3 linked regions of the Notamacropus eugenii genome follow. The protein of the gene in region 3 interacts with the protein of the main gene of each other region in a pairwise test. Links are inferred from orthologs where the notes say so. Each region holds a gene or a part of one and is shown on either strand. Other genes may lie near its edges. The genes, in order: BEND7, VAPB and USP20.

Region 1 (7,804 bases), on a different chromosome or scaffold from region 3:
ATTAGGATACTTTCATTAGTTAATCCTGTTTATTATCCATATTTTGTACATTTATTTATAGATACTTGAGGCCACTAAATTAATTATTGGTACTTCATTGGATTTTGCCTCCTAAAAACTTCTTGGTGTCACTACATACCTGGATTTAGAAATTATCTCAGATACTTTGTAGTTATTTGAGCCTGGATAAATCATTTAACTTATCTGAAACTCAGCTTCCCCATCTGTAAAGTGAGGATACAAATACATACCAGAGTTGTTGTGAACATTAATTGAAGTAATATATTGGACACTTTGAAAATCTTAAAACACTACATAAACATGAGTTAAACATAAACAGGTGTTATTTATTATTATTACATCATACTTATTCTCTATGATATTTATCTTGGTGGATATACATACGATATTTTCTCCTTCCCCCTTATTTTTCAGTTTAAAGTTCTTTTGATTAAAATCATTAGTTCTTGCCAAAACCAAAAGTACTGACATTATTTTTAAAAAGTATAGGGTTTTACACAAAGTAGTTTTTCAATAATTATTTGTTGATTTGACATGGATATTGACCTGGTCCAGAGTCTGTGGTCCACCTGTTTATAATAATGGTCCACAAATAATGCTTTTGAATAAGGTATTCCCTTCCTAAGCGATGTTCCAGTCCTGGGTCTCATGTCAGTCAAAAGATTCAAGGGAAATTCAACTGAATTGTCCAAACCATTCCATTATATTTGGCTTTTATTTTTAACTACACATATACTATTCTCTATGGTAAGTGGAATTCATCTTCCCACTTGAACTGGAAGTGTTAATTTGTTAATAGCTTCCCTAGGGTTTTGCATCTTGGTATGACAACTTCAATGATTTCATCCTAGTTTAAGTGTAATAAAACCTCATTTTATATTCGCAGGTATTAAAGTTCCTAAATGTCCTTTAGTCTGTCTGTTTCTCAGCTTTGTTTTGGTCAGAGGTTTTTAAAACCTTTAAAAGGACAAAGTTGAACACTAAGACTTGCGACTTTCAATTTAGGATGGGTCAGAGAGGAAATAGGGAGAGCAGAGGAAAGAAAGCAAAGGAAAGATGAGAATAGATTTAGTAATGTACGGATTTAGATGAAGGGTTGAAGACCTGATATGACACTCACAAACAAGACCTCCAGGAATGGTGAATTCACTACACTCAAAGGTAGTTCAATGCAATTTTTGGATAACTATAATTGTTAGGACTTTTGTCCTAGTGAACCTAAATTTTTCTCTTTGAAATTTCTATCACTCAACTGCCCTCTTGAGCAAAACATAAATTGAGAGCACCTCTTCTACACCACAGCCCTTTGAACACCTGAAGATTATGCCAAATCTTAATGACAATTCTTTTCCCACCTCTGTCAGTCTGTCTCTGTGCCTCCAGAGGCACCTTCCTCTATACCTCTCCTCTTAGAATCTTTTGTTGTTTAGTTGTTTCAGTCCTGTCCAACTCTTTGGATTTTCTTGGCAAAGTTACTGGAGTAGTTTGCCATTCCCTTCTCCAACTCATTTTACAGATGATGAAACTGACGTAAACAAGGTTAAGTGACTTGCCCAGGGTCACACAGCAGGTAAGTTTCTGAGGCTAGATTTGAACTCATGAAGATGAGTCTTCCACATTTCAAGCTCAGTGCTCTATTGCCACCTACCTGCTCTTCTTAGAATCCAGCTCCCCTCAAGGTTTTGCTCAAGTATAACCTCCTAGAAGAGGTCATTCCTAATTCAACCAGGTAGTGCTCCTCCCCAAATAACTTATTTTATATATATTTTGTATTCATTTATCTGTGTACATATTGCTTTCCCCTAGTAATGTAGAAACTTTGAATGCAGGTACAATATTTTATTTTTATATTTTCAGCACCCACCGCAGTACCTGCTACGTCGTAGGTGCCTAATAAATACTTTCTAAATTGAAACAGGAAGGATGGGGAGGATATAATAATCTCCCCTCATTCTAGACTAGAGGTTTTCAACCTTTTTTATATCATAGTCCTGTTGGCAGTCTGGTGAAGCCTAGGGACCCTTTTTCAGAATGTTTCTGAAAGCATAAAATACAAAGAAACCAATTATATTGAAATACAGTTACAAAATAAGACAAGTTCAGAGACTTCAAGTTGAGAACCTCTGTTTTATACACTAATCTTTTCTTAATGCAATTTCAGATTCCATGAGCTTTTTTTGGGGGTGCTGTAAATTCATATTGAACTGAAAGTCCACTAAACGCCCAGCTCATTTTTATATGCATTATCTAGTCATATCTCTCCCTTCCTGTACTTGTAAAGGCAATTTTTATTCCAAGTATAGAACTTCAGATTTATCTCAACTATGAGAGGTTCTCTCATTTAAACACCTCACCAAAATATGAGTATATGATACCTACAGAATTCTTCTTCTGTATAAATTTAATAGTCCTGTCAAAAATGAACTAAGGAGGGGCAGCTAAGTGGTGAAGTGGATAGAGCACCAGTGCTGGAGTCATGAAGAACTGAGTTCAAATATGACCTCAGACTTGATACTTAGTAGCTGTGTGACCTTGGGCAAGTCACTTAACCCAGATTACCTCATAAAACCAAAAAAAAAAAAAAAAGAATTAAGATTAGTTTGGTGGGAATTGTTATTTATTAACCCAGAGTGGCTGATATTGATCACTGCTGTACTTCCTAAGTATTCACAAAACATGGCAGAATCTTGCTAAGGTAGCAAGCATGTCCTGGCAACAGGTTGCCTGCTTGCCAAAAATCAGCCTACTTAAGTGCAGAGACAGTGATTACCAGTAGATGTACCACCAGCTACGGGACTAGCAATTCTTCTGCTGTGGAATTCTTCTGCTATGGTAATCCACTAAAGCAGGGAAGGAAGGAACTGAATGAAACATGGGCAACTGTCAATCATTGTACAGCAGATATCAAACACATCAACATTCCCGAGTATCTAGAGGAGAACTAGATGAAAACATAATTGGGTAGTAGTAAACAAAATAAAAATACAACAGAACATAACATCAAACGGGGTTTCCTAAATAAATATGCAACCAGTAGGGATCTCTTTTTAAATATGCTTCTGTATGAGTTTGACACCTCTTCCCCGCTACAGTATTGTCTCCTTGGGTGGGGTCCATGGTGAAATATGGTGCTACTATTCATCACCATGCCCTCCCATCCTCACTAGCCTTTAAGGCGACTAGGGATTTGTTATACCTGCTGTCCCAAAAGACCGAGAGCCGGCCTTTTGGGACACCCTGTTCTGTAACCCAACTATTCCTCCACCTAAATGCCTCTTACAAAATCATCATAGATCTAGAAGGCACCTTTGACAGAAGAGAAAATTGTGTCCAAGGAGGTTGTGACTTTTCCCCACCAACCACCCTCTCCCCTTTCCTGTCTCCTTTCGTGTGGTCTTTTTTTCTTTAGGTTGTAAACTCACTGAAGGCAAGGATTGTCTTTTTTATTGTGTCTGCATGCCTGGCACATAGTAGGTACTTAATAAATGTTTATTGTATTTATTGGATTGGGATTAAGTGACAGAAATGAAATTTGACTCCAGTTTCAATGATTTTAACCACTAATACCATTGTGGCTCTCTCTCTAGTGCTGCACATCCCAAGAGGTATACAATTATTTTTTCCCTCTCTCCCAGGGGATGTTATGAAGAAGAAACAAACAGTGTCCTTGATGTGCTCTGTGCTCCTTAGAGATGCCCATAATAAGTCTAATGAAATGCTTATTGTTTATTCCCTTTATTTTGATATCATTACGCCAGTCTTTTGCATCTGCCTTAGGGATTTGGTTCTTCACCAGCAACGGAGACAGCTAATGCAGAACCTGAGGGATGACAAGTTTTCTCAGGACGACCCTCAATCCACATGTGTTCTCCAAATTCTGGGGCCACCCAGACCAAGAGGTCTGTAGTCAGTATTCGGGGCTCAGTGTCAATGCTCTCTACCCTTTTCAAGACCGTTGGTTCATTTCATATGTAGTCATTTGTGGACAGGGGAGATAACCTCTAACAGCTGCTTAAAATAAGGGCTCTCTGGTTCAGGAATGTGAGAGTAGGAGGCGGTTTGGGGGTGGCGGGGCATACCAGCCTTCCCAGGACTGAAGCAGACAAGAGGGGAGGACCCCCCCAAGACTTGGAGTCTCTAAGGAAAAGGAAAGAACCAGCAGGATCCTGGCCGTGAGGGGGAGGCTCCCCATGGAGCTTCCAGGCCGGCGGCGAGGGAGGGGGGGAGGTTGTATGAGCTGAGCAGCGCTCTCCAAAGCCGGGGGGAGGAAGACTCCCCCTGCCCCGAGCGAGCCCCGGGCCTTGGGCGGGCGGCGGCAACGCGCGCGGGGCAGGGAGGTGACGGGGAGGGCGCGAGCGCGGGCTTAGAGCGCGAGCGCGCGGCGGCCGCGGCTCGCGGGAAGCTGCTCGGTCCGTCCGTCGGTCCGTGGGTCCGTCTGCCCGTGCGGCCTCCGCCTCCTCGGGATGGCGTGGGGCCGGGGGCCGAGCCCGAGGAGCGGCCGGCGGGCTCGGCTGGCTCCCTCAGCTCGGCCCCCAGGGGGATGGCGGAGGCGGGGAGGGGGGTGGCCCGGGGCGCCGGTGCGAGGGCCGGCTCCCCCCAGCAGGTGGCACCGGGGTCCCAGGCAGCGCGGGCGCTCCCTCCTCCGCTCCTTCCCCTCCTTCCCTCCGCCCGCCCCGGCGGGGGGGGGTGGGGGGGTGGCGAGCGCCTCTGACCCGGCTCCCCCGGCTCCGCCGCCGCCACCTCCTCCCGGCCCGACCCGACCTGCTGCCGCCTCCCTGGCCGCGCATCGCCGCCCTCGCGCCGCCGCCGCCGCCTCGCGGGGAAGGAGCAGGAAAAAGCGCCCGGCGCCTGCCCGCCCCTTTCCCAGCCCTCTGCTCCCGGGCCGGCCCCGAGCCAGCCCCGGGCCAAGTCCGGCCCCAGCCGAAAGTTGTGGCGGAGGGCGGCGGGCCCGGGCTCGGCAGCTTCCTCGCCTTGTCTCCGGGCCGGGGGCCCGGGGTGCGGGGCTGGGGGGCGAGAGCAAAGTGGCAACTTCTCCGAGGGAAGCCTCCAGCCCCGCCCACGCCCGGGTCCGAAATCGCCCGGGGGGCCGGATCGATTTTGTTCCTTTACATTATTCTTACTGTTGTCGAGACACGGACCTGGGTCCTCCCGGCGGCTGCTGCTGCTGCGGCCGGGTGACCAGAGCCTCCGCCGCCGCCTCCTCCACCTCCTCCTCCTCCTCCTCTCCCTCCCCCCTGTTCCTCCCTCTCTCTGTCTCTCCTTCTCTCTCTCTCCGCTGCCACATTCCCTTCCTCCTTCCTTCTCCCCAGCACCATGGAGTTCTCCGAGAGGAAAAGAAGCAGGAAATCCCAAAGCTTCAAACTGGTGAACCAAGGTAAGAAGAGAGGGACGTGGGGGCGGGGGGGCGGGCAGAGGGGGGGGGGAGAGAGAGGGAGATAGAGAAGGAGAGAGAGAGAGAGAGAGAGAGAGAGAGAGAGAGAGAGAGAGAGAGAGAGAGAGAGAGAGAGAGAGAGAGAGGTGGGGACCGGCTAGGGGGCTTCTCTCGGGTGGGTGCCAGAGACTCGGAGAAGGGACTTGACCAGGGTGTAAACATCCCCCCAGCCACCAGCGCTCTCCTATCCCCTCTCGCCCTCTCCCTTGTCATTTCCCTCATCCTCTGTTATTTGTCAATGCAATTATGTATTTTCAAGTCAGCAACTGTATCTTTAAAAAGGGTTATTGTTATTATTTTTAAAAGAACCCGCTCGACAGCGGGGGCGTTTTGGTGTGTGTGGGGGCAACGTTGATGCTTGGCGATGAGACCACTGTACACAAAATAAAGTTGTATGGTTAAGGGGGGGAGTCAGGATGTTATTGAACGTAAACAGCCCAAAAAGCGAATCAGGAAATTAGCAAACAATGACACTTAGGGAGCAAAAAACCTTCTTGTGCTTTCAACTACTGTGGCCAGGTTTGGGAAGTGGGGTGTTTGCTTTTCAATTTTAGAGGTGTACAGAAGTCTGGACGAATGATTCTTGTCCCTAAGACCAAATTCTTCCCCCCTCCCCCCCACCTCCCTTGTCGGTCCCTCCCCCCCACATGAAAGGTTTTGGTGTGATTTTTCCTTCTTTCATTTCGGAGGAAAAACAATGCCATTGCACAAGGAAAAATTGTTGCTATCTAACTTGTTGGGTTGTGTGATTGGTTTAGGAAAACGTGTTTAAAAAGAATTATGCATCTAGTGAAAATCAATTTTTAAAAATCCCATCAAATTTCTCAATAATTTAACAGGTGTATATCTCAACTGCTTGGGTTTAGGCTATTCAGAGGGGAGAGGGTAGTAGTTGTCCAGTTGAGGATGAGTTACTTGTTAGGATCTTATTTTTTTCTAATTTGGCTTAGAAAAGACTGAGAAGAATTAAAGCCCAAGGCAAAAGAAGTAAGATATATCTGTTAACCAACTTGTGACTTGTTAGATTCGAAGCAGGTGATTAGTACATTGTAATGTCACATTTCTCTTTTGAGGGTTCAGAACACCTATTTTCCTTAAGTCTCTTTTTTGAAACAACCTTAAATTTGAACAAACACAAAAACTTAGAACCGGTCTGTTTTTCCTCCGATGTTTTATGGACTATTGGGGGTGGGAGCAAACCAACTGTTTTAAAAATTCTAAAAAGTCATCATATAGACTAATGAAAAGTAGAGGGCTATTTGCAAATAACAGGGTTTTTTTCCTAATTAAACCCCAGCTAAACTAAATGTTAGTGTGGAGCAAATAAAGCCTACTTTTAGTTTGTTTGAAAATTCATTTGATTATATGTTTTCTTCTCAATTAAACTGATTTAAATAGTTAAGCAAGTGGATAGAATTTGGTGAAAGGGGTTTTCAGTCACTATACCTATTCAGAATATTAGCTTTTTGATTCTTTGTAACTTTGCTTCACTGAGTTGATTGCTCAGTTACTTGAACTTTTAAAAGTTTTTTCATATATAACCTGCCATTTTGGGGGGCTTTATTCATTCAAGAATATATGTTACTTCTGTTTTTTCTAACTTTAGATAACTTATTACCATATCTTGAAAATGAGAGTAGTTGTGTAGGTGTTGGTCTGTAATGTCCAAGGGCACCCATAAGTCATGAATGTAAAAAGAAATCTACCTTTAAGGCAGATAGTTAGGTGATCCCAATTTGTAGGAACTTTATCAAAACCGCATGAGCCTCTACAGAGAGGCTAGTGAAATTCTGTATTTTTAAGTTGGACTGACATAGGAAGTTTATAACAAATTCTGAGTCTGACTCTTTGCTATGCAGGTGCATTTTCAGAAAATGAGCCACTGCATATTAAAGTGCAGTAGCTGTATGCAAAAGATACCCTTATGTGAAAGATGAGACCCTGGCTTCCATATTCAAATTTCACTCTACTTAAAACAACAAATGAGTATTTTTCATATGAGCTTCCTTTTAGACTTTCAATTCCCAGTATTTTTCAGTATTAATTGTTAAAATCAAGGGTGTTGTCACTAACTATTGGGAATGCTCTTAATATGTCCTATACAAATTTAGTTGTATAGTTCAATGTAAAAGACTTCTATGACCTGGGATGCAGCACATTTTCCCTATTGGTTATGAATTTACTTGCTGAGGTTTAGAAAAAACATTTGAACTTTCATGCTGACATACTTGTCAGTGAAACCTGACATATATCAGGCAAAGTTATTCTCAAAAATCTGTGAATATTTATTTTGTACAGTTTCAAAAATACTGATAAAATTCTTGGGTGCTGCTATAGTGTTTGTATTCTGTG
Region 2 (7,360 bases), about 26 Mb from region 3:
TGATCTCTGCAGAGCAAGGACTGCTGATGACTCTCTAGCTAATTTTGTGGTTAAGTTCAGTTTATAATTTAAGCATTACAAAGATATTTTTAAATGCCTTCTGTGTTCCTATCTTAGCTCCATAGGCATTTGTCCTTCATATGCTACTACTCACTTGACACATATGCTGAAGTTGCTTTGAGTGATGTGATTTCTGGAATTCTGTTTCGCCAGCAGTGAAAGCACTAAAAAAATGGTTTTCTTTCTCCTCTTTTCTAGAAAGCCCATTTCTTGCTTTCCCTAAGGGTTTCCACATAAAGATGAATCACCTGACGAGGAAGATGGAACACTGAGCACAGACTATTTGGGATATTTTCATAAGATAATTTAGAGTTGGAAAGGACCTGAAAGGTCATCTAGTTCAGTTTCTTCATTTTACAGATAAAGAAACTGAAGCCAAAAGAGAGGTTCAGTGGGATGCCCAAAGTTCAGAATTTAAATTCAAGGTCCTTTGACCCCAGATTCAGTGTTCTTTACATTATACCATAGTGACTCTCAAAATTTCCTCTTCTCTTAGTAGAGTGCCATAAGTGATAATTAACAAAAAGTCATTTCTTCAGTGGCATTCATGGCACCCAATTCAACCTCAGTTTGCAAAAATTCACTCAGTTACTACTACTAATTTGCATCCACCACTTTACACACTGGCCCTCTTCTTTACAGACATAGTTTGATACTAAAAAGATAATCTATCAACATGTTGACTCAAAAGCATAGAAAAGGTTTAAAGAGAATAGCAAGCAGATAAACAGACTTCTAAAATGACATTAGCTGTCCTCTAGGGACATGATGATGGCCTGGCAACAATTTTCTAGTGGCCTAGAATAGAATTCTTCAGGCTTTCCATTAGTTATAGGTGTCTCCTTTCTCTACTAGTGGGGGCTTAGGTAAATGAAGTTGGGACGTGTTAGGGAAGCAGTAATAACTTAGGAATGATTTTGAGAGATTACAGCAACATAGTTTTAATTAGAGGCTAGCCAAACCTACGTTGACAAAGGGCAGTTTATCCAGGTATAAAAATAAAGTGCAACTATTCGTGTCAGCCCTTATTATTTCACACACCTGGGTGATGGCCCTTAGGAACAACTCTAAATGGAAATCATTTCCACCAACATTTGCTAAAAATAAATACATAAATAAAGTCATTACAGTAGATTACCCTGTTTTAGTAATGTAGCAACTAGCCTACATGCTTAGAGTGCAGTTACAAAGTTGCAACGTCCCATAGGACAGCATTAAAACACCTTCTCTTCTGTCAACTTCAACTATTTGAACTTAATTTTAAATAGCAAACGTTAAGTCCCTGCACATTCAGGAGCCAATGTCTCTGTTTTATGAAGCAAAATGGCAAGAGTTTTAGCATGTTTTCTAGCAATCCCTCAAGAAGGGGAAGCATAAACAAAATAACAGGTAAATGTAAAGCACTGACAAACCCTGGGCTAAAGGCCCTAGGTTTCCTTGCAAATAACAAATTAGAACCAGTTGCACACGTTGCATTTGGTATCCCCTCTTCGAAGCTCCCAGCAGCCCTGACAATTTTAATAAGAGCAAAGAGAGCAGACACCAACCCCAAAAGAAGATATTATTTACTTAGGCTGCCACCGAGAAAGCTTACACACTACCCATTCGTAGGAAGGCTACCCAAAGTATGCACAAACCAACCCGGGCAGTTTCTCTAGGTAGAAAACTGGGCGCGGGGAGGAGGGGAGGAGATGAAGAAATAGAATCCTGTAAAGTCAAGTCATTGGAAAGAGAAACGTTTCTGCAAAGGAGAAATTTCCATTTTTCTTTCTGGGGCACAACATCAGAAAGTCCAGAACCTGGGGCGCGGGGGAAGAGGGTCTGGAAAATCCCCAGCGCCCGGTCCCGCACAACCCCGAGGCCCAGAAGCTCAGCCCTTCCCCCACCCCCAGCCCAGCTCCCGGCACCCACCCAGTCCTCCCGGCGCTGGCAGGCAAACGCCCAGCGGGCAGCCCCGGCCCGAACCGGAGCCTTCCCTTCTCCAGGCTATCCGTCTCCTCTTTGGCAGTGTGGGGTGTGGGAAGAGGAGGAGCTGGGCTCTGCAAAGGAGCAAGGCAAGTGGGGCCCGGTCCCGAAATGTCCAGGATTCAGACCCGGTAAATACAATAAACAGGTGGACGCCCCTTCGAAACGCGTTTTCCTGGGTGGGGGAGGGGAATCTGAAGCTAAATCTAAGGGGGGAGGGGGGGAGAAGGGGACCTCCAAGCGGCCAAGACGCACACACAGAGCCCCCGAGAAATAAACCTGAAGGACATTTTCTTCGCGCCTGCCTCTCCCGGGCCCCCGGAAAATGGCTGCCAGTGGTGCCTCGGCCAGGGCCCGCAAACGCCCCGGCCGGGCCCGCGTCCCCGCGCTCTTACCTTTGAATTTGAGCTCGTGCTGCGGCTCGAGGCTCAGGACCTGCTCCACTTTCGCCATATTCCTCGGATTGGGGGAGGGGCGGGGGCGGGAGAGGGGGTGGAGGCGGCCGCTTCCCGCTGCACCAGGGTCGGTGACCCAGGAGGTTAAAATAAAGAGGGCATGGAATAACAGACGGAAAACACGCTCAAGGAGCACCGGCGGAAGGCGCAGAGGGGTCTCGGCGACCTGGCGGAGGGCGGGCGGCGGCGAGATGCCCGGGGAGCCCAGCCGCGGCCCGGCACCCTCACACACTCACTCGCACACGCACGCACACGCACGCACGCACACGCAGACCCACAGCCAGACCCGGGGAGAGAGGGAGCAGGCGGCGGAGGCGAGGGAGCGGGGGTAGCGGCGGCGGCGGCGGCGGCGGCGGGAGGCGCCTGCGATGATGCAGCACCCGGAGGGCCGGACAGGCCGGAGCTGACGTAGCGAGCGCTGCGAAAGCCTGGTCCTCCTTCCCGGCCACCTGGGCGAGTGCGCGCGTGCTGGATCCGCCTGGGGCGGAGAGGGGAGAGCTGGCGCGCGGAGGAGAGGAGGGCAGGGCCGCGCGCCCCGAGGGAGGGCGTGGCGCCAGGGGCGGGGGCGCCGGGGCTGGGCCTCCGGGAGGAGGGGGCGTGGGGAGCCCCCGAAGGGGCCGGGGCTGGGGCGGCACGAGCGCGCCGCCGCCCCGCCGTGGTGCTGCCCTCGTTCTGCTGGAGACCGCGGCTCTCGTTCTTTCTGGGGTGTCAGCGGCCGGCTTTGACCGTTCTTTCCACCACCACCGGATAGTTACCTTTGCCCAGAGGTCACCTGGAAGGATGGTGCCCGGGGCCTTGGCGGAACCGTGGGCATCGGGAGCAGCAGTGTTCAAATGAATATCAGTTTTACTTCTGAAACAAGCGAAGGAACTTGGGCAACCCAGATGCAAGTGCATTATTCTGATAATACATAATGCTTGTACATAACCTTGCAACAGTTTCTACCACCGGTTACTATCGTTAGATTCACTAATCTGTTAGGTGGACCAGGCTCAGGGTAATTACCCCCACTTTAAAGATGAGGAAACTGAGGCCAAGAGAAATCAATTGATTTGTCCGTCGTTGTGCTGCAGCTAGGTGACGACGTGGATAGGGTCAGGAGGACCCGAATTCAGATCCGACCTTGGGCAAATCACTTCACCTCATTTGCCTCTGTTTCCTCATCTGTAAAAGGAGTTGGGGAAGGAAATGGCAAACCACTCTGGTGGGTGGGATTGGGAGGAGTTGGACACGACTTAGTAACATACTATTAGTAAAAAGGGACCTTTAACACAGATTTTCTACCCTTGGGTTCAATGATCTGTGTTAGACCCTACTGCCGTTCCTATATATTAAATAACAGGTGCTCTACAATCCTCTGAAAGCCTCTGAAGGTATCCTCAGACTATTCTATAAAATATAATTAATGTGAAAGTCTTACATCAACCAGGAAAGGGAAGGATTATGAAATACCTTCTTCTACCTTCTTCTGTGGAAGTTCTCTGAAAATAAATATTTTCCCTGTTAATCTTTTAGATCAATTCCTTAATATAATAATTTGTCAGTGCTGTCCCAGTATTTTATCTCTAGACAATTAGGAGCCGTAAAATCTGGTTCTGATTTTTATTTTTGTGTCTAAGCAGATCTAGGGCTTTTCACTGGCAGGAGTGTTTTAACATCTGACCATAAAACACGATGAATCAACCTATTAAAGCTTGCAACAAGGCAGAAGATTGTGTAGAAACATTAAGGAAGTAGGCTACAGTATATATCTGCATTATTTATAATGTATCCCACCTCTTCAGCTGTTTCTGTCCATCTCAAACTTCTCTGTTCATCTTTAGAAGGCCTCTTTCTGATCCCTGGGTGGTTCAGACTAACCGTGATCCTGTTTAATGTTGTGCATTCAGTGACTTAGAAAGATTCTTCTTTCTCATTTCGCTACATAATTTAAATCATTTTGCTTTTCTTCATTTGACTTTTTTTTTTAAATGAAGAATGACAACTTTGGTTTGTCTCTATTTAAAAGCTGCAATATGAAAAAAAAATTAGCATGTTAATTATGAGCCACATGTTAAATGACCCTCAGCTCTTAGGAGATATACAGGGGTTAGCATTATATATGCAAATACAAATCAGCTCACATATAGCAGTCATGAATCTTGTTACATCAGTAAATAATTAAGCATGTCAAACAGCAGGCTTAGATGTCTGAAATCAACTTTGTCCAGGAAGTGATTTGTATTTAACCATCACTTTCAGATGCTATTTTTTTTCTACTTCTTCAAATGTTCTTCCACATTTGCCAGATCACTTTAGCCTCTGTATCAGTTTATTCAATTTCAAAATACTGAAGAGGCAAGTTAAGATTTTTCTATTTAAACTCAGTCACTTAGAACAACAGGTTGTACTTTTTAAAAAAATGAATCTGATTTCTATAAACTTCGTATTTAAAACTTTCTTCCCAGAAATTCGTAAATTTGGCAATTATACTCTATCCCACTTGTAAAAATTGTTCTTTTGCACTTAAAAAGAAATCAAGGGTAACTGAAAAAGAATCCCCAACATCTTAACTGTCAAATGTGGAATTATTGCTTTTGTAATAACATATTAAAGGAAAAAACAAATCTAGATATTTTATAATTTAAATGGCTTGTATAATAAAATCTGTCAAATTTGCATTGCAATCACACGGGTTAAAAATGAGTTCTTATTGTTGTTTTCATAATTCTTATTCTCATTCTTTCATACATTAATAGTATTGATGTTAGCTGAAGATGGGAATGCTGATGTCAGTGTTAGCACTATGAAAAGAATCTAGGTATTTGACCTTAAATGTAAAGTTCAGCATTTCATTTTTAAAAAATAGCTGTTTCCGGAAAGGTGAATAGAATCTTTGTAAAACCTTTGAAGGCTGTTCCCATATCATTTAACAAATAAGTTTATTTAACAAATAAGTTTATTTAACAAATTTCTGGATCTATATTATTTATGTATTGAAGACTTACCAAAGAACTTTTTAAAAAATCAGTTTGGTTGTTTCACATTATTTACAATAAATACAGTACTTTCATTTTTATAATCTTTACATGCCAATCTAGTACTGTGGGAAAATGCTAAACCTTAAGACAAAAAAGACCCGAGTTCCAATTATGCAACAGACATTTGCTGTGTGACCATGGGAGAGTTGCAACTTGTTTCCCTATCTGTTAAATGGGCATAACAGGACCTGCCTACTTCACGGGGTTGTTGTTGTTCAGCCATGGCTGATTCTTCATGACCCCAGAGACCATTGCCACACCACACCCTTCTATCCTCCACAAGGTCTCAAGTCTGTTGAAGTTCATGTTTGTTATTCCCATACTATGTATCTCATTCTCTGTTGTCACCTTTTCCTTTTGCCTTCAATCTTTCCCAACATCAGGGTCTTTTCCAAGGAGTCCTGTCTTCTCATTATGTGGCAGAAGTATTTAAGCTTCAGCTTCATTATTGACTGACATTCCAGTAAATAGCCTGAATCAAATTCTTAAGTATTTGATCTCTTTGCTGTCCAAGTGACTCTCAAATCTTCTTCAGCCTTACAGGTGTTCAGTGAGAGTCAAATGAATATATGCAAATATGTGCAAAATATCTTGCAAACCTTAAAAGCAGCATAATAAATTTCAACTATTAACTATTAAAGGTGTTTTCTGAATTCTAGTACTGTGAAACTGCTAGAAAATACTGAGAAGTTTTAGGCAGCACTGTTTAAGATGAAAATCTAAATTCTTGGGCTCTTGATTAAAACAATGGGTCTATTAACACCCTAATTCATTCTGACCAGAGTCAGATGTAAATTTTTTTGCTACAATCTGTGTCAAGAGCCCTCCAGGATATGTACTTTCTTTTGTCTTCCTTTTAAAGAAATAGTTTAATGCTTATAATAAAAGATCTAAGAAAACTGATGCTTGGTTTCTCAAAACAATATCGACCTTTTCAGTAGGGCAGCATATTTTTAAGCTGGTATTGATTGGACTCAAAATACCCACAAGCTTTAAATTTAAGCCTTAAATGTTAGTTATCTCAATCACTACCTCACTAGAAGTCTGGTGCTGAATTTCAAATGAAAGTTACCAATCAATTTGGAAATTATCTGAAATCTGAGAAACATGTTCTAGGCACTGCCTGCCCTGTCTAAGCCTGCAGGTAGGTACTGTCAAGCACATTACAGCAGTAAAGGATCCTGATTCTAAAAAGCTAAGAGAAGATGAAAACATGTTACTTTTCACAGCATGTACACAGTAACACTATTCACATATACACTGCAAATGGAACACTAGCATCTCTGATAAACTTCTAAGTTTGAAGTGAAATTAGTTTTGAACTTTTTATTTCATGACCCATTTAACCAATTCAACTCTACCCTCAAAAGAAAGGGCTAATCTTGGCCTTGGCAATTCTGGCCCCTGTCTTGAATCACAAGGGATGAGGAAGATTAGGACCATCCAGAAGGATAACCTAGAAAGTAAAGACAGCTGGTTCTTGTTGCCACTTGCCTGTGTGACAACTGTCAGTTCTGTAGCTAGTTTCCCAACTCTGTCTGGGAACTGTTTTAGATATGCTATTTGAGAAATCATGATTTGGAGGAAATATGTGCTCCTTAGATCAAACCACAAAGAAAAACCATTCTAGAATGCAAGTCTTCATGTTTATAAACACATTTTATTAGTAAAATGTTTACATCCATTCACAATACAACATAAACCTGCAGTGATTTAACATGTCATTCATTACATTATAAAAGTCTGTAGAATGACTCAGCTGAAACAATGTAGTTTAAGATATACCAAATCAATCTTTATTCGCAAACTACCTATGGGATGAGTATAAACCGAAAAATCTTACAGCAATCAAAATCCTGG
Region 3 (8,086 bases):
ACGTCAGATGTGACACAAGTAACACTCTGAAGGAACGAATGAATTGTCATTGGAAGAGAACACACGAAATATACATTCAACAGTTGCCAGTTAAGACAACAGCATTCCAACAAAGGCAAAACCAGTGCCTGTCCTCCGAGAGCTCCCATTCTGCTACGGGGGCAGGAGGGCAGCATCTTGGTCGCGGGGAACCCCCGCAGCTCTCGCATCGTTTTGGGGGTGCTCGCTCCCCCCGGGGGGCGGAGAAGATAAAAGCCGGGCAGTACGAGATCAATCCCGCAGGCTCGGGGTTAGGGTCAAGGCCGGCTGCCCTCCCGTTCGGACCTCGTCCTCCCACACCAGGGGCTCGGCCGATCCCGGAGGGATGTCATTGGGTCGGGGCTTCTCCGCACAGCAGTCCAGCCGCCCCCTGCCCCGCTCCCCACTCACCGGACCTCCTCACTGTCTTGCTCGTCTGACTCCGACTCCGAGTCGACGCGGCGCTTGCGGAAGGCCTTGCCGGCCCGCATGGTGCCCCGAGCCCGGGTTTCCACCAGGGACTGCCGCGGGGTGCCCCCGATGGGGCGCCTTGGCCCCGGAGCTGCGCAGCTGCTCAGGGCTGCTTCCGGCGCAGGCCAGTGCGGTCAGCGCTGCGTGCGGCCGCGGCGGCGGCGGGCCCGCCTCCGGCTCCAAGGGCCCGCGCGGGGCGCTGCCCATAGGGCCGCGTGCTCGGAGCCCGCCCCGCCCCGGCCGGCCCCGCCCCTCCCCCGTGCCGCCGCCGCCGCCCGAGCCGCGGGGATGGGGAGCGGGCAGCCGTGCCGGCGGCCACTCGGGAGCCCAGCCCGCCGAGGTGAGTGTGGGCGCGCGGGGCGAGGGCCGGCCGTTATCCTTCCGAGCCGCGGGGGCGGGGAGGGAGGCGGCGATCTTCTGCGGGGGACGCTCCCCCCGCCTCCCTCCCCTTAATTCCTCTCCCCTCTCATGGCACTCCCCTTTCCTCCTCTCTCATTGCACTCTCCTCTCTTCCCCCTCCCCCGCTTTCTTTTTCCTCCCTTCCCCTTTCATCCTCCTCTCCTCTCCCCTCCCAAAGCCCAAAGCTTGAGCGGTGGTCGAAGTTGTGCCAGCATTCCAGCTCAGCCCCTCGAAGGTGCCTTCCAGCGAGACAGGAGTTCGGCAGGTACACCAGGTGTACCAGTGTCTCTTCTGAATTTCACTAATTATCTAATTCAGACTGTAGAAAGTTGGCCTTTTAAAAAATGAATGAGTTAGCCTAAAATAATACTTTTAAAAGTAGATTGTATTTGGGGACTTAAGAAACATTGTCACAGCCCTAAGGTGAATTTTTTAAAGGAAAACGTTTACAACTTTCCCTCCTCTTGTTATTTTTTGAAAACTAAACACCACTAACGGCCGCATCAGGCCCCAGGCCTCTGTCATCCCTAGCCAGTCCAGAAGGGAGCCTCCTATATTTTTAGTTGACATTACTGTGGTAGCCTAATGATCACTGGATTCTGGAGGGAGAAGATTCTGTACTTGATTTTAATATTTACTTGCAAGTGACATTAGCTAAGTTCCTTATTGATTCTATAATTTGCTTTGTTGTAGGTAAATGAAAGAGAATAAAACTTCCTCTCTTACACAGGTTCTGTGACGATTAAGTTCACCTTTTAAAAATGTGTTTCCAGAAGTCTAAGGCTTTATGTTAGTATATAGTAATTGTTTCCTTTTTTTTAACCATAGGAGAGGTCATTTCTTTTAGTAGTTCAGATCTTCCACTAGCAAGTTATCCCAATTTTAATGGAGTCACAGTCCTCATTTACCCTCCCTAGATATGCTTTTCAGTTGCTTATAATGTATACACCAATGCTGATTGGTTTTTTGTCATACCTTTGAACTGCCAGTGTTGGCTGGTGTCTGGGAAATGGATTGGTTTTTTCCTTTGGAAGGGTAAAGCTTGACCTGCCCTGGGCGTATTACAGTATATCATACCAAGCCTGAAAGGTAGATGGCACCAGGTAGTTCCACGTAGGTGTCTTTAAATACAACTGTATTTGTAGGCATCAAGGACTGGAAATCTTGTCTCACAACCATTGTTTTGGTCATTGCTTAGCTAAGTACCCCTCCAAAGATTCTGAACTTATACTCTGGCTGTGACCTAGGCCCCTGTGCACTAACTATACCCTTCTAGGAAGAATTGAGTGGATAACCTGCATCATAAGCTATGACTGAATGAAAGATTGGCACCTTTGGTTTAGTTAGCACAAATTAGAAGACCTGGGTTTGAATTCTGACTGCCACTTTTTTGCTTTGTGATCTTAAATCACTTAAAGCTGATGTTTCTGTTTCCTCATCTGTAAAATGGGACTGATAACTGTATTTATTACCTACCTCACAGGGATTTTGTGAGAATTGAATAAGGCCATGGCTGTAGACAATGGATATAAAAGCATTTTATAAACCACCAAGTGTTACTTTAATTTCAACTTTTGTTACTATGAATTTAGATTTAATAAATGTTTTTTAGATTGAGTGGTGAGAATATTTTGATCTTTTTGTTTTGTTTTAGGAGGAATGTTTAGTTCTGGTTTGAACTGGTTTGCTAGCTATTTGCTTAAAAAAAAACCTTTAGTTTAGGTTTGAGATCAGTAAAATTAATATTTGTGTTAGGCAATTAGTATTTGTGGTTCAGCAAATTGGTACCATTTGTTCTAATTCCTAGTTTGATTGGTGGTGCAGTGGAAAGATCACCAGATCTGGGTTCTGCCACTAACTTTCAGTGTGACTGTGGGCATGCCACTGTCCTACTCTAGCCCTCAGTTTTCCCAAGATGAACAGGTTAGACTAGATTATGTATCATCATCAGCTTTCCAGCTCTAAAAAACCACACATCTAAGTCCCCGTTTAAAAGTCACTTAATTCACACTTCTCTATAGAAGAGGTATCTGACACCACACACAGGCAGCATGTGTGCAGCCCCCAACATTCCCCAAAACATTGGAACAAGATGAAAATGTAATTGGAAAATATTTAATAAGACAATGAGATGTGGTTTCCTAAGTCAGTATATGGCCTCCAACGATCCTGATATTTGGTTTAATGATCTGGTTTCTGTTTGAGTTTGACACCACTGCTCTAGTATATGTATGATAATTAAGCTAGCATTGATATAGCTCTTTAAAGTTTGCAAAGTACTTTACATATATTTTACTTTATCCTCACAACAGCCTTGGGAAGTAGCTGCCATTATTATCCCCATTTTATAAATGAGGAAACTTGAGGCAGATAGGTTAAGTGACTTGCCCTGGGTCAAACAGCCAGAAAATGGCCAAAATAGAACTCCAGTCCTCCTGATTTCAGTCTAGAGCTTTATCCCCTGCACCACTTAGTTGTCTAGGAATGCCTCCTGTGTGTGTTGTTTTTTAACCAGGCCTTGTTGATTTCTCCTACCCCTATCCAGTCCTCCACAATGTATGAAAACCCTGTCTTATCAAATCACTGTTTCTTGTGCAGGACAGTAATGTCAGGTGCTATAAGGTTTTATAAGTACTAGTTATGGTCCCTACTCTCAAGAAGCTTACATTTAGTTGAGGAGTCTAGATCATTACAAGTGAAATCATTCAATTAACTAGTATTTATTGAGTGCCAACTGTGTGCTAATCATAATCACTGAAGATGGAACAAGGACTGATCTGTACCTCCAATGACCTTACATGTTAGGGATCTAAGGGGTAGAAATAACAGCTACAATATTAACAGACGTTTGTTTATTATACTGCTTTACGAAGCACTTTCATTACAATAACTCATAACTAATGCAAATTAAAACATCCCCTGCCTTTCTTAGATTGTTGTTTGTCTCTTTTTGTTCCAGGCATCTTTGACAGTGCCTTGAAGCAATAGATATTTGATAAGTGTTTGCTGAATGGTGTGTAAAAATATAAATATTCATGTTGAGTGTAACAGTAAAAATATTTAAATACTAGTTCAAAACAACACAGGATGCCATAAGGTCGTAACTGATTGTGCAGCCAATTATATAGCCAATAAATGCCACTGGGAGCCAGCCATCACTGAGAACTGGGCTGGGCTGTCCTTGAAGGAGGCTTGGAGGAGATGGGGCTAGAGCCAGGTCTGGAAGCTTAGGCAAGAAAGGAGTCTTGCTTGCTTTTTCTCTTGTGGTCCTGTGCGACTACCCCAGCTCCCCCTGGATTTCTAAGGCTTATGTGCCCCGTCAACACCTCCACCCTCTCCCCGCAAAAAAGGCTATATATACCGCCTAATAGAATGCAAGTTCCTTAAGGACACAGACTGTGTCTTTTGGGGTAGAGGGGCAGTCTTTGTCTCCCACACGACTCGGAGGTAATGGGTGCAAGTTTCCTCCTACAGAACACTGAGTTATTGACAGCTGACACTGGTTTGCTCTCAAGGAGATGGCAGTCCATAGGAGAAAGGACAGGACAGATGTTTGGTGATAAAGGCGATGGTGCTTTTTCTTTTTTAAAAAAAGGTTTTACTGATTCTCTTTCAAAAAACAAAAGTCACTGTCACTTTACAGTGATCCCACCCACCCACCGCACAGTCTTCTCTAACAAGTAAAACCTGCGTGCAAAACACATCTTTCCGCCCCCCACCCCCCACCCCGCTCCCCCCACGTTGGCCGGGTCTAAAGAATTCTTGGTACGGCTCCTGTAGGCCCCCATCTCCGCAGGCAGGCTGAGCACGGTCCCCTTCCCAGGAGGCTATAACCGGGGCACTGGGGGAGAGGGCCTCCCCAGTGAGCCCCAGGAGACCCCGCCTCCTGGGCTCCGAGCTGGGACGCCTGCGGGCCCCGCCTCCACCTGGGCCTAGGAGCGGCTTGGCTTCCCCAGCCCACGCCCCGGGCTCGTTCGCTCGTGGCCTCTCTCTCCGGGTGGGAGGCCCTTCCCCGGCGCCCCCTGCCCCTGCTCGGTGCGCGGACCAGCCCGGCGCGGCCCCCTCCTGCCCCAGCCCTCCTCTCTACCTGTCCCCCCGCCCCCTTCCCTCCCTCTCTGCCCGCGAGTCCGCTCCCCCACCCCGGGCGTAGTCCCGGACCCCCGGCCTCGGCAGGAAGGCGGGAGGAGACCCCAGGCCCTGGGGTGCCGAAGCCGCAGCCCGAGCCCGAGAGAGGAGAGGCGGAGACCGAGGAGGGCGAGGACCCGAGGAGGGGGCCGGTGAGCGGTCAGGGGCCCGGTTCTGCCGTTGGGGAGCCTGGGGGCCTGGCCCCGGAGTTTAGCCCACCCGAGCTTAAGGAATTGACTGGAGATGGGCGGGGGAAGGTTCGAGGGAGAGGGGGAATGAAAGGATGGGGGAGGGAGAACCAGACCCACCAACTAAGAGGGGAGAGTTGGGTAGAGGGCGAAGGTTAAGAGAGGGAAAGTGGGAGGACTCGGGGAGAGTTAAAGGGGGATGGGACAGGGCTAAGAGAGAAAAGGGAGAACGGGGGAGGGTGGCGAAGGTGAGGCCAGCTTAGAGAGGTCCGGGAGTGAGACTAGGGGAGGAGCAGGAGAGGGTTCAAGGAAAGGGGGCTTGTGGATAGATCGAGGCCGGTCAGGGACCTCTCCCCCGCCTCCACCAGATAAGGAGGAGAAGTTTGGTCAGTAAAACCTCGGAGGAAATTTTGAGGTGGGGGGTGATGAAGGTTAATAGGAACCAGCATCTTTTGAAGACAGAATTAAGGGAATAAAAGGGAGTCAAACAAGGCATGGTGGGGGGAAGCGAGGGGGAATGGTTTAGAAGGAAGCCTGCAGTTGTGTTGGAAAGGGGATGGAGTGCATTGGTAACTCAGAAGAATTAGAAGATGAGGACTGAAAGCAGAGGGGTGACAGTGGTCGACAAATGTGTGGTGTATGCAAAAACCAGGCAAGAAAACCGAAGGAACTGGTGACTCTAGGCAGAATTAGTTAGGTCAGTTGCCTGGGATGAGAAGCGTTTCCCAAGGGGCTGCTCCGAGCCTCTGTTTAGTTTTTGCTGTGCAGCGACTCCTCTCATTTCAGTGAGCACCAATGGGGCGGGCCCTTGGTTAGTTAAACCTCCTTGCACCCACTTTGCTGCTTTTTTTCTTCATGAGGAGGGAGGTAATTCTGGGATTACAAAGACTGTCATCACAACCACATCACACCACCTGTGTGGACAAGGATGATGCAGCAAAAGGTCCTTGAGAAAATGATGAGTAACCCTGAGAAGCAGCCTGGGCAACAGGCTGCCTGGGCTCTAGTTCCGATGTTGGAATTTGACTCTTGCTCCTAGACGTGCATCCTCCAGACCCTGCTTTTATCAGGGAGTCAAGATGACAGTTGCATTTGATCTCTTCTAAAGAATCATTTATCTTCACCTGCAGCCTCTCTTTTGAAATCTTAATTGTGTAACCTGGCAGCCTCCAAAGGAAGGCTGATTTCATTCTGAAAGCTCAGTGGAAAGCTTTGTACCTTAGTGTATCTGCATCATTCTCTCTCCCTCCCTCTCTCTCTCCCTCTCTCACTCACACCCACACACCCACACATCCACCCCACACACACACTTGCTCTCATTCCCTCTCCCCCATAAGTTTTTTGGTTTTTTGTTTGTCAACTTAGAGGGGGAAAGTGCCGTGTGAATTAGCCAGGAGAGAGAATGCATTTGTGTGTAGAGTAATAATTTAGTTTTTGTATGAATATGAAAAGTGATAGATTACTTATGCTGTAGCAAGATTTGGGGAAAGGCAGGATATCTTTTTTAATTTAAGTTTTAGCAGTGGCTGCTGGAGAAAGAGGGAAGACATAGGAGCTCTGCTTTTTTATCAATTGTAATTTCAACAGGTCCTGAACGAATACCTACTTTGTACATATTCTTTACCAGGCATTCCATTTCTCTGACATTTTTTCAAAGTGTTTCATCATATTGATCATTGACAAACATGCTCCCACTTCTAAGATAAAAATAAAGAATCCTGAACATTTTAAGTTCCTGATAAAAGCTCAATAAGGATTAGTGCAAAGAAGTTGTCAGTTCTCTGGGAAAAGTTGTCCACTGATAATTGGCAGTCTTTGCCTTGTGCTACATTTTTAGGGTTTGCTCATCATTCCTATTAAAGGAGGATTATTTACTTGGCTTCAGAAGCAATTAACTTCAAGCTTAGTTAGTGCTTACTGCAGCCTTGCTTTTCTTTATCTATTTATAGGCAATTCTTTTTGGGTTCCATAGGTCTGGATGTTAGGCCTTGGGGAATCTGGCTCTAATTTCTGCCTTAGTATTGGGTCTTTGCAGGGTCTGTGGTAGAATTCTACATGTGATGTGTCAAGAGAAGAAAGTGTATCATTCATGGGTGAAAAAGGTCTTTGATTGTGAAGTAGTACTCCTCAGCTCAAGGAATCATTTTTTAGCAGGTCTGAACCTGATGAGAGTTCAAGAGCTTTGGGGACATGTGCTTCTAGTGTTTTCCTTTTTCTGTGGGACCTGGACAAAAGGGAAACTAATAGAAGCTATGCTTAAGGTAATTTAATTTTTTTTAACAGACACATTGTAATTTTAATAAATGATTGTTTTAGGAGATGATACAAATTTATCATTTTGTGATGACTGTTTTGTTACAGTGAAAGAAAACCTTGGTAAAAGCCTATGGGAATAAAAGTCCCTTTGGTAGTCAGGAGAAAGAACATACATTTGAATCTACTTTGATTATGAGTATTCCTTGATCTAAAGAAAGACTTGGCTTTTTCCATATAGTATAACTAGGTAAGAGACACTGAATTTCTTCTTTCATACACAGGACATGATATGTCTGGGATATATATAATGTAGAGCATTTTCTCAGAGAGTTAGGAAGTTGGTCTGGAAGCGCTCTTGATTTAAAGCAAAAATATAATCAAAAATTTTTTTTTGCTTTTTTTTTTTTTTTAATCTGACCTCTACTTCAGACTGCAGATTCTAAGTACAGTATAGCTAACCACAAACTTTGGTAATCCTGTGCAGGTCAATGTTTCCTTCCACACTAAATCAAAAGCATTCAGTCTCTTTTCAAAATAACTAGGGGAAGTTTCAATTCCTGATTTCTCGTCTAATTGAGAAAGCAACAACAAAAAAGAATTTATTAAGTTCATGCTAGGAATAAGCTCTC

Evidence for each region.
Region 1: the proteins of USP20 (region 3) and BEND7 interact in binary tests that used the Homo sapiens proteins (3 or more experiments, as listed by UniProt). The two-hybrid records come from large-scale screens. The link is inferred for Notamacropus eugenii from reciprocal best matches to the Homo sapiens genes USP20 and BEND7.
Region 2: the proteins of USP20 (region 3) and VAPB interact in binary tests that used the Homo sapiens proteins (3 or more experiments, as listed by UniProt). The two-hybrid records come from large-scale screens. The link is inferred for Notamacropus eugenii from reciprocal best matches to the Homo sapiens genes USP20 and VAPB.

What each region holds. Positions count from the first base shown.
Region 1 is NC_092874.1:168,216,073-168,223,876, forward strand, and holds the start of BEND7 (BEN domain-containing protein 7), read left to right. Parts: upstream 1-4,784; 5' UTR 4,785-5,334; coding exon 5,335-5,395; intron 5,396-7,804.
Region 2 is NC_092872.1:506,916,720-506,924,079, forward strand, and holds the start of VAPB (vesicle-associated membrane protein-associated protein B/C), read right to left. Parts: upstream 3,004-7,360; 5' UTR 2,479-3,003; coding exon 2,421-2,478; intron 1,955-2,420; exon of another isoform or gene 1-1,954. UniProt on the Homo sapiens protein: Endoplasmic reticulum (ER)-anchored protein that mediates the formation of contact sites between the ER and endosomes via interaction with FFAT motif-containing proteins such as STARD3 or WDR44.
Region 3 is NC_092872.1:481,408,261-481,416,346, forward strand, and holds the start of USP20 (ubiquitin carboxyl-terminal hydrolase 20), read left to right. Parts: upstream 1-5,032; 5' UTR 5,033-5,165; intron 5,166-7,440; exon of another isoform or gene 7,441-7,462; intron 7,463-8,086. Other genes in the region: C1H9orf78 (splicing factor C9orf78 homolog), read right to left, coding at 430-509.